Cricetulus griseus: one gene and its partners. The protein of the gene in region 1 purifies or fractionates together with the protein of each later gene. This does not show direct contact. Links are inferred from orthologs where the notes say so. Each region holds a gene or a part of one and is shown in the gene's direction. Other genes may lie near its edges.

What was found.
Region 2: the proteins of Mtmr3 (region 1) and Plk1 purify together in Homo sapiens (affinity purification with mass spectrometry; 4 studies listed by BioGRID and IntAct, with this or other methods). This does not show direct contact. The link is inferred for Cricetulus griseus from reciprocal best matches to the Homo sapiens genes MTMR3 and PLK1.
Region 3: the proteins of Mtmr3 (region 1) and Aurka purify together in Homo sapiens (affinity purification with mass spectrometry; 3 studies listed by BioGRID and IntAct, counting the BioPlex papers as one, with this or other methods). This does not show direct contact. The link is inferred for Cricetulus griseus from reciprocal best matches to the Homo sapiens genes MTMR3 and AURKA.

The regions. Positions count from the first base shown.
Region 1 is NW_023276807.1:100,405,347-100,408,846, forward strand, and holds part of Mtmr3 (myotubularin-related protein 3), read left to right. Parts: intron 1-646; coding exon 647-757; intron 758-1,197; coding exon 1,198-1,286; intron 1,287-1,976; coding exon 1,977-2,003; intron 2,004-2,752; coding exon of another isoform or gene 2,753-2,909; exon of another isoform or gene 2,910-3,500. UniProt on the Homo sapiens protein: Lipid phosphatase that specifically dephosphorylates the D-3 position of phosphatidylinositol 3-phosphate and phosphatidylinositol 3,5-bisphosphate, generating phosphatidylinositol and phosphatidylinositol 5-phosphate.
Region 2 is NC_048596.1:78,505,948-78,509,921, reverse strand, and holds the start of Plk1 (serine/threonine-protein kinase PLK1), read left to right. Parts: upstream 1-1,174; 5' UTR 1,175-1,264; coding exon 1,265-1,666; intron 1,667-2,411; coding exon 2,412-2,580; intron 2,581-3,209; coding exon 3,210-3,354; intron 3,355-3,974. UniProt on the Homo sapiens protein: Serine/threonine-protein kinase that performs several important functions throughout M phase of the cell cycle, including the regulation of centrosome maturation and spindle assembly, the removal of cohesins from chromosome arms, the inactivation of anaphase-promoting complex/cyclosome (APC/C) inhibitors, and the regulation of mitotic exit and cytokinesis.
Region 3 is NC_048599.1:6,970,856-6,975,140, forward strand, and holds the start of Aurka (aurora kinase A), read left to right. Parts: upstream 1-1,485; 5' UTR 1,486-1,624; intron 1,625-3,500; 5' UTR 3,501-3,505; coding exon 3,506-3,547; intron 3,548-4,285. UniProt on the Homo sapiens protein: Mitotic serine/threonine kinase that contributes to the regulation of cell cycle progression.

The DNA.
Region 1 (3,500 bases):
GAGCTTTGAGAGTTTGCTCTTTTTGAACAAGTGTTTGTATTCACTCTGTGGCAGGTGCTGGCAGGAGAAATGGAGAGAAGAGATTGATACTTTTATTTTTTTAAGCATTGCCAAGGGCTTAGCACTGATGAGGCTTGGTGGCTAGAAATGAGGGTGCCAGGATTCTTGGGTTCCCAGAGGGGCTTTCTTCTTTGATGGGTAAGAGATTACAAATATAAGGCAAGTTCTGGAGTAATCATCCCAGATCCAATGACCTTACAACCAAAGGAACTTTCAGCTTTTTCTTCATACTAATTAATAATGGTATCTCAGTGTCCCAAAGAGTTCAGATAAAAGAGGGCACACCCAAATCACTGTTTTCATTAAGTGCTGGACTGGATCTCGAGGCCCACCAGAATAGCTGACATAGGAACTTCTCCTCGGTCACTTCACTTGCTTCCCTAAGGCCCATCTTTCCACTCAGTGTCACTTGACAAAATCCATATGGCCTTCTGAGCTCAGCCCTTCTTTGCACCTGGTCAGCCCAAGTCTGGATGGCTGGTGTGACTGCACATTTGGCACCTTAGCACTCATAGGTCCCTGTGCTCTGTTCTTCCTTTGGGAGGAGACAGGTCCATTCTGTTCAGCTGTGTTTGTTTACCAACAGACTTCAATCCCCGACTCGGAAAGCAATCTGGATCAGAACTGTTTGTCTCGCTGCAGCACAGAGATTTTCTCTGAAGCCAGCTGGGAGCAGGTGGATAAACAGGACACAGAGGTACAGGCTCAGCCCCTGCTCTGCGTGCCATCCATGCAGGTGTCCTACAGTTCTTCTCCACTCCAGTCCCTGCCCCATGCCCCTCACCAAGGAAGAAAGTCACATTAGAATTGAGCCTCTGTATCTCAGTGTCTGGGAACCCATATCCATCAATTCTAAGCCAGGGACACTCAGTGAGCTGGCCCTCTCTCTCCATTGCCTCTGCCAGCTCTTATGGCAGCCCAGGGGGCCACTGCTACCACGTTGCCTCAGGGAAAATGAGAGTCCCCTCCAGGCAAATAATTTGGACACCTTCCTTGAACTGTTGTCAGCAGGTCTGCTGCACTGATACCACTGGAGCCCATGTAGTCCTTGTGACTCATGCTCCCCCTGGTGTGACTCTGTTGACTTCAGATGACTGGCCCATGTCTGTCACTAACCTGGTCCCATGTGTTTTACAGATGACCCGTTGGCTACCTGACCACTTGGCTGCCCACTGTTATGCCTGTGACAGTGCCTTCTGGCTGGCCAGCAGGAAGCACCACTGCAGGTGCCATTGGGGTGACTTTTAGGGTGGGATGGGTTATGGAGTCTGAACTTTGACATCTTACCAGCAAGTGTTCTGTTGAGCTGCCCTTGAGGTCACATTTCTGTGCCTCTGAAATTGGTCCTTCTAGAACTGCATTTGGGAACTCTGTTCCAATTCAATGATCACTATTAAATTTTGAAACTCGGACACACTTTGTTTCGTTTCCCAGATTGGCAAGGTAACAACTACCGTGCAGATCATCATTTCTTGTTTCCAACATACAATTGATCATGGCTACTTTGAGCAAAAACAGCTTTCTAGATGTGGGCAGGGAGCCTAGTTTTCCTACTTCTTTCTGCTCCCTGATCCCAATGCTACTGCTGAGCAGCTGTATCTAGGGAATAGTAGACACAGCTGAGGGCAGTCTCCAATCCTTGCTGCTCCCAACTTCTTTCTCCTAGGTTGAGCAGTGAGTTACTAAGGCTACTTTGCTCTGGCAAGGGTGGCAACTGTCTGGTAGATGTTTAATGTTCTTAGGATAGGAAGTTTATCAGAATCGTGTAGTGGCCACATGAAGAAGTGAGCCTGGATTGAAAGTGATGGAAAAACTTCTTTGTAGACAGATAACACTCTTAGGACCATGGGTCTCCCCCACCCTGCATCCCTAGACCAAAAGGCTTTTCCTCTGAGTTCTTTCTCCCCTCCTTTCAGGGACACTGACCGTGTTGATCAAACGTGGTGAGCATTTGCAACAACTTGTCTGTGATGTCTGCACACCCACAATAACTTCTCCACACTAATGCTGCCATTCCCTTCTTTGCACTCATTGGGCTGAAGTCTCATAAGGGAGAACACAGGCAGGCAGGTGGGCATGGGGATCCATAGCAGCTGATGAAAGAGACTGCCAGGGGTGTGTCTGCTGCAGCCTTGTGCTCCCCTCTGGACTGTGCAGGCCAGCTGGGCTGTTACACTCTTGATGAGAAGTGGTACTTCTGCAAGGCTGATCTTTCGGGGGAAGCCAGTGGGCTTCGGGACGTTTTTGGTGGGGAGAGGAGACAATCATTCCTTGATGCCAGGATGATACCGGTAACTTTCAAGTCAAATGGCATTGCTTCCTTGTTTTGTTTTTATAGACAGAAATGAACAGATACCATCTTTCCAGAGAATTCATTAGCATGGAAGACTCCACTTAGGTCTTTCAGGGTCTCCCAAAGGAAGTCAGATAAAAAAGCTTAATTGATCAGATTTGTGTCAGGCTTGTTAAAAAAGCTGAACTTCAGCAGTATGTCAAACAAGTACAGACATTGAGAAGATTTCCTGTTCTGTTTTCAAGCATCACAAGTTATTGGTGATTCATGCTTCTTAGAAAGTTGTAAAGTGCTTTTTACATTCTAGAAACAAAGAGCTTTGTGTTCTGGTTCCTTGTCCTATTGCCCTGTGTCCCACCTTCCCTTCTACAGTGTTGCTTTGTCTCATGTGGTCGTTAGTGTCCACTGCTGTGCTCAGGTGGTCCTTATCCCGTGTGGTCTGCATTCTGAGGAGCATGGCTGGGAAGTTAACGTAGAGGAAGCTTTCCTATTAACTTCCTCTTCTCATCTCTGGAGAGCTGTGTCAGGTACCTTGGAGTTTCCTGTGTTTAACTGATCAGTATTGGTTTATACTTTAGGGCTCAGCAAATGTAGGATTGTAAGGTAGGCAGAACTCATCCTGTGTTGTTAGCTTTCCTGTGTGTGTGTGATGGGCATCAGTCCGGGTGTGCAGATCCATGCAGCACAGACGCAAGGAAGTAGGGGTATTGGTGGAAAGGACAGGGGAGCCTGGAGATGCATGGGGCAGAGCAGTGAACCATAGCTGACTGACCACTGTCTAATAGGGATATATATATATATGCATATATTTCTTCATGGTCTGTCCTTCCACCTCCCTTCCACGCTGAGCATGTGTCAAGTAACTGCTTTGGCATTTGGCTTTGCATGCTGCTGGCAGCCGTCTGCATTTAACTTGCCTCTAAGGCAGTGGCCTTCAGACAGGGTTCTTCATCTCCAGGTGGGCAGCATAGTTATTTGTCTTCTTTGAGGGACCCACAGGCTAACTCCTTTTGACTTTGAATTCCCTGTGACCTCAAGCTACCCAGATGGCCAGTACCAAGGTTGGTGCAGCCACTGGGTATGTCCCCAAGTCAGCACTGAGTGCTGAGCTGGCAGCTGCTTCAGTGCTGGACTCATTTAACCACAG
Region 2 (3,974 bases), on another chromosome or scaffold:
CTGCACTGTGTGGCCATTCCTTTTAAGTGTTGTAAATTTTTTTTTTTTTTTTTTTAAATGAAGGCCAACAAACACCCCTGCTGGGCAGATTTGGCCCTGCTACTTTGCTAGCACTCTCCAACCAGCCATCCCTCCCTCTGACTAAAAAAACTAGTTTTCTCTATTTGGAGCAACTTAGGACAAGCCAGGTAACCTTGCATTCATGCTCCTAAATTTGCTCCGCGAACCTGGCCGGGCCGGTGCAGAGATCTTGCTCTGCTCCTCTCCTCCCCGAATTCAAACGCAGCGAGAGGGGGGAGAGAGCTGATGCTTTTCTTTTTTTCTTTTCTTTTTTGGGTTTTTCGAGACAGGGTTTCTCTGTGGCTTTGGAGACTGTCCTGGAACTATCTCTTGTAGACTAGGCTGATCTCAAACTCACAGAGATCTGCCTGCCTCTGCCTCCCGAGTTCTAGGATCACCTTGTGTAGGAATCACCTGACAGTCTTGTTTGACCTGCAGGTCAGACCTGGGCGGTTTCTTTCCTTCGAGGGTAGGGGGGAAGGAATGTTGCCTGGTAGCTGAGGCTGGCCTTAGGCTAACTTGCAATCTTGAACCCACGCTCCTTCTTAAGGAGTTCCTGGGTGTTGCAGATACTGCTGACCCCTGGGTTTTACTGGAGAAGTCTAGAGCTCCTTTCAATTCGGGCTCCGGGAGTGGTTGCCACAGAGCTTCCTTTTGCCTGCCAGACATGCTGGGTTTGTTCAGGTTTGGGTTTATATAGACTAGCCAGGGAGACGGCAGTCGAGGGCGAAGGCGGTGCACTGCCAAGCTACCTCTAGGCCTGGAGTTTCAGATCTAGAAGGCCAGGAGGAGTGGAGGAAGGTGTTAGTTAGGTCCTAACTGGAGAAGCCTCTGGAGGAGGGGCATGAACCACAGGAGCATTCTCTGGCCGAGGAGCAGAAAGCCGGACCGAATTCTGTCCCCTGGGTATTTCCGCGTATTCCATCCGCTCCTAGTTTCCCAGGGTATCCCACGTGCATTTAATCCTTAAGTCCCAGCCCATCAAGTTTCTCCTCACAAGATCGGGGGTTTAAAAGCGGCTGCGCCGTAGAGCACTCCCATGGTGCCGCGCGCTGGGCGGGTTTGTATTTTAAATCCCCGCGGCCAATCAACAACGCGCAGGTCCTTGTAACGTTCCCAGCGCTGCGTTTGAATTCGGGGAGGAGCGGAGCAGGGCAAGATCTCTGCACCGGCCCGGCCAGGTTCGCGTAGCAAATTTAGGAGCATGAATGCAGCGGCCAAAAAGCTGGCTCGAGCACCAGCCGATCTCGGGAAAGCTGGGGTTCCTGGAGATGCAGCTACCGGTGCCCCAGTGACCGCCCCGCTGTCGAAAGAGATTCCTGAGGTCTTAGTGGACCCACGCAGCCGGCGCCAGTATGTGCGGGGCCGCTTTCTGGGTAAAGGAGGATTTGCCAAATGCTTCGAGATCTCGGATGCAGACACAAAGGAGGTGTTCGCAGGCAAGATCGTGCCGAAGTCTTTACTTCTCAAGCCCCACCAAAAGGAAAAGATGTCTATGGAGATTTCTATCCACCGCAGCCTCGCACACCAACACGTCGTAGGCTTCCACGGCTTTTTTGAGGACAGCGACTTTGTGTTTGTGGTTTTGGAGCTCTGTCGCAGGAGGGTGAGTGTTTCTGCTGTGGTGTTGGGGCGACCACACCGGGAACTTGCTGGCAAAGAGGCATCGACGCCTTGGAGTGGCCTAGAGGAGTGCTTGGGTTTCAAGCAATTATGAAGGGGCTCCTGGTGAGGGTGTTTGGCATTCCGAGCTGCTGAGGCCGGGGGTTGAGGGCAAGCGGAACCCGGGACCTGTTGCTATTATTAGGGAAGGTGGCTCCTGCACGCAAGACTGCCAGTAGGTGCAGGAAATGGGTGTTTAAAGTGATTAACAAGGGTCCCAAGCTACGGCTGCCGCGGACCTAGAACTTCCGGAGTGGAGTGGGGCAGGGTCTGGAGTGGGGGAGGGAGGAGAGGCTGTCTGGAGTCAGACCTCAGCTTTCAGGAAAAGGAGAGGGTCTCCTGCTGGGAGGAAGCCCCTAAATAAGGGGTTGAGAGAAGACGCTGGGTAAGGGTACTCGTTAACAGGAGAGGGGTCCTGTGAATGATAATGGCCTGACCAGTGTATGGACAGAACCATTAGGAGCCTGCCAAGACATAAGAATTATGGGTTAATAAGTGGAAGAGTTAGCTAAGCCTGTACTATAGGCCGAGCATTTATAATTAATATAAGCCTCAGAGTAGTTATTTGGAATCGGCTGGTCGGGATAGGAAACTTCCGTCTATACTTTACTCCCGAGGGTTTAATCTTGGCCACATCCAGCTGGCCACCCTTTTCCTTGGGCTTAACTACCTTCTTCCCTCTTCCTCAGTCTCTCCTGGAACTGCACAAGAGGAGGAAAGCGCTGACCGAGCCCGAGGCACGCTACTATCTACGTCAGATAGTCCTGGGCTGCCAGTATCTGCACCGAAATCAGGTCATTCACAGGGACCTCAAGCTAGGCAACCTCTTCCTGAACGAGGATCTGGAGGTGAAAATAGGTGAGGTGCTGGGCCTGCGGGTGTCTGGTGCCAGTACAAGAGGTGGCAAGGAGGGGAACTCTGGGAGAATGGGAGCCAGAGAAGTGGAAGGTGGGTGGGAAATGGAGGTGCTGCCCTCCAGAAAGCCTTCTTGTCCAGAAATGGAAAGTAAGTGTCCCACAGGCCAGTGTTTTGCTGTCCCTTTACTGAGCTGAAAAGCACCTTTTCCCTTGAGACTCTGATTTGCCTCAGTCCCTATACTCCTGTCACTTTTCTTAAACTTGTCACAGTCACAAAGAATATTTACTTGATTCCCTAGTGCATCCAATTCTGCTATCCTATGTATTTTAAATTTCATATATGTGGGGTTCGAGATAGAAGGTAACTTTCTGGAGTCAGTTCTGTTCTTCCATTGTGGGTTCCAGGGTCAACTCAAGTTGTTAGTCTTAGCGGCAAGCACCTGTACCTACTGAGCCATCTTACTTCCCTAGCCCTGCTATCTAAAGAGGAGTGTAAAGGGCAGTGGGAAGGTTCGGGAACAGAGACTGGAGTCTTGAGGCACTGGCTCTCTATGGTCAGTCCTGAGGCAGTTGTCTGCAGCCACAAGATGGCCTAGCAGCTAATCACCTCTCTTCTTCCCTCTGTCCCAGGGGACTTTGGGCTGGCAACCAAAGTGGAATATGAAGGTGAACGAAAGAAGACCTTATGTGGCACTCCTAACTACATAGCTCCCGAGGTGCTGAGCAAGAAGGGACACAGTTTTGAGGTGGATGTGTGGTCCATTGGGTGTATCATGTAAGTTGGGAATGGACTCAGGAGCTATTGGGTCTCAACAGGATTTTCTGAGGCATTTCATCCAGTTGACCTTTCCCTCTGGATCCCACATGAAGCCCCTTTTCCTTATTTATCAATCTATAGCATTCCTGTAGCTTGGACTTATGGTCCAGGGAAGGGACCAAATGTGTCTACACTTCTTCCTCCAGCTCCTTGCTGCTTACTAAAAGCATGCACTAACCCAAACCATCAATACCTCTGAGGGTTTGTTAGGATGTGGAAATCTCAGTTCTGGACCTGGGTCTAATAAAATCCCTGGCTGACTTTCAGTAAAGCTTTGGAAACACTGATGAGTGCTGATGGGAGAATCAGATCAGCAGAAAGGTTCATGGTAGGCAGAAGCTCCATCATGGTGCTTGTGCCTGTGGCAGATAGCAGTGGCCTCTGCGGTTCTTGAGGAGTCCTCTATTACTGCAGGCCAGAGCTGGGGAATCTCTAGCGCTTGGTATTCAGTGTTGTCACCTGCATTCTTCTGAGGGCTTATCCCAGCCATTGGCTTCTATGAGACTGAGCAGACTTGGAGATCAGCCTCATCCGTTCTGAGTCAGTGAATCCAGCCCAGCTCCCTTCCTCTAGACAAT
Region 3 (4,285 bases), on another chromosome or scaffold:
AGGCAGATCCCTGTGATTTTGAGACCAGTCTGGTCTACAACACAGGAGGCCGGCCAGGGCTGCATAGTGAGACCCTGTCACAACCAAACCTAAAATGATACCACCAAAACAAATAAGAAATGCAAACATCTCAACAGATTATGCTCCTCTCAGTTTTACTTGGAAGGATTTAAGCTCTCCAGTCCATGAACATGAAACGCAACTGAAGACGCCGGCTTCAGTTACCAACTTGGGCAAATAATCTGATAATTACCAGTACGTGTGCGGTTAGAGTTTGGCTATCGGAATCTGGGAACAGCGGGAGGGGAGGACTGGGGGTTACAGACAGGGGTTACAGTGTTTGCTAAGCCTGCCAGACGCCCTAGGCTCAGTAACAACAGCAGCAGCAGCAGCAGCAGCAGCAGCAGCAGCAGGACCCTCCAGGCCACACACAGCACGGCACTGTCGGGAGACCTCAACAGTTACCACTCATCGAGCTCTTGCTACCGCCGGGTACGACGACCCCGAGCACCCGATCGGCATTAATCTCGACACGCAGGCATCCAGAGACTCGTGCACTTCACGTTAGAAATAAGCGTGTACAAGCCTAACCCTTGCATGAGACACTGGGACTCGACAGAGAGTGACACGAGTTCCAGAAAGTTTCCAGGGCACCCGGTCAGGCTACAGCCGGCCCCCAAGGGTGAGGGCCGGTCCGCGCAGCCTCCGCTCCCGCCAGGGACGCCCGGGGCTGGGTCTCGAGGTGTAAAGGGGGGTGGGGGGGGCGGCGGCCGAGCCTTCACCCGAGTCCCCGGGAGGAAGCACGGGCGGGCGGGAGGAGCCCGGCCCGGGGCTGCAGGGGGCCCACCCCGCTCGGGCGGAGGGGAAAGCAGGGAGCCGCCGGGACCCAGGCCCGAGGCTCGCTCGCTCGCTCGCTGGCTCGGGGTGCAGGCCGGGCCGCTCGGCTCCGGGGCGTCCGGCCTCCCGCCACCCTCTCCGCTGGCTCCGGGCCCTCTCCACGCCAGCCCCCGGCGCCCGCACCAGCCCGTCTCCCTGCGCCTGCCACCCGAGCCCGTTCCGTACCCCCGGATCAGGGTCCCGGTCTCCCGCTCTCTTCTGGAAAGATGGAGGCGCGAATCGTGCCCGATCGATCGCTCCGAGCGCACGCCCACTGCGCACGCGCCAAGGGCAGGCAGCCGAGCGCCGAGCACCCTCCCGCTCACTCGGCCAGCCTGCCCTTCTCGCCATCTTACTCACTGGCACGTTCGAGACGCTCACTCACCTCCTCCGAGCTGATCACCTTCGCGGCAACCCTGAACCCGAAGGGCTGCTGTGTGACCGGCAAACGCCCGATCCTGGGGAGCACGGCGAACGACAGAACGGCCACAGATCGGACAGGCCGTTGGCGCACCACTTCCGGGCGCTGACGGCTCAGTGCGCCTGCGCCCCGGCTACGGCCCGGAACGAGCTTCCCGTCGTCGCGTTCACGGCGGGCCAATCACAGGACGGCGCCGCTTCGCCTCCAGCCAATCAGCTTCCGGAGGAGAGGGTTTAACTCCTGTTTCAAAGGAGAACCTTTGAATTGTAACGGCTGAGCTCCTGGAATCGCTTGGAGTCTTCGCTGGAGACGCGATCCTGCCCCGGGGTAGGAAGGGGACCCGGCGGGCCAGGGAGAGCCTGGGCGCTGCAGAGCGACGCGGGGCGGAGAGGGGCCCGGGGGTGGCGGGCTGTCTCTCGGGGCTCGCATCGGTGCAGCGGAGATCCAGGTGGCCTCGTCCCTCCTTGGGTTTAGGTTCTGGTGGGAATGGGACCCGGACCACCGGCCATACCGGGTGATTTGCAAACCGATGGCGGTGGTATGGACGAAGCAACTGCGGCTCAGTGGGGACCAGGCGGGGGTCCCCTTGTAGAGACGCCCGGGGTCGTGCTGCCCCCTCACCGCAGCCTTTTGAGCAGTCGGTGTCGGTGTAGACCCGCGGAAGCTCAGCTTGTAGAATATTCCGGAAGCCCCGGGCTCGGCCCCCAGCACTGCCTAAACCATCATGGTAGCCCCCGCCTTTAATTCCGATGGTGAGGAGGTGGAGGCAGGCGGATCACAAGTTACATGGCAGATCGGAAGCCAGCCTGAACTGTGACCCTGACTCAACAAAAAAAAACAAAAATAAGTCATCTCCCCATCCCCACACCCAGCGTGGTTGCTCACATCAGCAGTCTGAGGCAGGAGGGTAGCCTTGAGTTTGAAGCTAGCTTCCGATACAATGTGAGAGCCCTTCCCAAAAGTGAGGCCTATCTGGGAATGTAGTTCTTGTGTACCACGCCCTGGATTCAAATCCTAGCACTGCATACACTGGGCACGGTGACCATGTTTGTAATTCCCATTGGGGAAGTGGAGGCAGGAAGATCAGAAGTTCAAAGTGATCCTCCATTATAGCATGTTCAAAGCCAGCCTGGGCTACATGAAACACTGTCTCAAAAACAAATACAAGACTGATATGGTCCCAAATTCCTTTAATCCCATCACTTGGGAGCAGGTAGAAGGACTTCTGAGTTCCAGACTACCTAGGAGGGCTACACAGAGGTACCCCATCTCAAACCAAACAAACAAAATCCTGGCTCCACTGCAAATGTAGGAAATAGAAATATCTTAGGGATAGGATCCTGGTATAGCTAATCATGGGAAAGCTAAAATGCAGGTCATTTAGCCAAGCTGGCATCTGGTCCCAGGGCTCCGTTTCCTACAGGCTTCCTACAGGTGAGGTGGGTACAGCCCCAGTCCTTCACTTAATGCCTCCATCTCCTGCCTAGCCTCCCCCATCTTTGCAGTAGGGGCTTTTCAATAACACGCAGGTGTTTGTCCTGACTGCAAGCAGGTGTTTGTCCTGACTGCAACCCGTATCTGAAAAGGGAAGCCCAAGGCTGATTCCTGCTGTGTCAGGAGAACTTTTCTTACATGGAGTTGTAAATCTTGGCTGAATGGGATCTGTGAAGGTCATCTGATGTAGATGAGAAGGCGAAGGACTGGGATTAGGGGAAAAAATGAGGCCAAGCCAGGAGGGTAGGAAGTGACAGCTTGCAAGGTAATAGATAAACTGGGAAATGGGCAAATGTGATTGGCTGAAACCTGTTCCCCAGGAATCAAGTTAGTGCTGGGTTTGCCACCGTAGGGGAAGCTGAGAGACTGGCAATACCGTGGGATTCAAAAGGCCCAATGGGAATGGCTTGGGAAAAGAGTAGGTGAGCTTTGTTGTTCAAGGGTTATGGGAGATGGGACCATGGCCTGGGGTAGCTGTGCAGCAAATGGGTAACCCAAGCAGGCTGTATATGCTGGGCATCATGTTTTAGAGCAGAAAGAACAAGCCCAGGAGGGAAGAGAATGAGAGGATGTGAGGAGCTGGGTGCAGGATTGTCAGTGGGAAGTGTGAGGTTGCAGGTCACAGAGGCCTGTCTGTCAGAGGCAGTGACTGCGGAGCACAGCAGTACGTGGCTTCCTGTCAATGAAAGGCTCTTGTTTCTCTCTTCAGGTGACATGGACAGATGTAAAGAAAACTGTGTTTCCAGGCCTGTTAAGGTAAAAAGAATTACCTGTAATCACAATTGAATTTTGAAAAGTTGTTTTGAAATGAAATGCATTTTGTTTGTGTGCACCCATTGTTGTAATTTAAGAAAAGCAGCCTTCAAGAAAGATGGCATGAGACAGGGTTCAAGCAGAGAAGGGCTTTTTATTAGGGAAAGAGATCATAAATAGGGGAGGGGGAGACAGGAGCACCAGCAGAGAGAGAGGGAGGGAAAGAAAGAAAGAAGGGTGGGAGCTGACAGCAGCTGAGGGCGTATCCTGTCAGAACAGGCCAAGGATAGATGCCTAAATACTAATATTCCTCCCTCTTATTATAAAAAGATGAGTCATTAGAAAGGGGTAGCAGGTGAGGTGGGGATGAGACCATTGTGTTTTCAAGACTACTTCCTGCTGACCTGGGGGGCATCGTTCATCTTTGGGGGACCTAGGAAAGCTGGGGTGCTAGCCATGTCCTGGAGTAGCTGGCTGTTTCACTTCACTGTCCAGGCTCTGTGGAACCATCAAGGTGCCTCCTGAACCTGGCAAAATGCCGTTCTTGGTGAATCCAAATCAACACCCTAGGGCGTAAAGCGCCTGGTCCTTTCCCGTCACCACAGCATCACTGGGCATGTTTGGTAGTCTTGTGCCTCCAGCTCTACGGCCAACACCTGGTAGTACTGCAACAGTAGCCGATTAGGAATGGTCCGTGGGTCTCCAAAAACATCTCAATAGGAGCAAGGAGGCATAGATGGT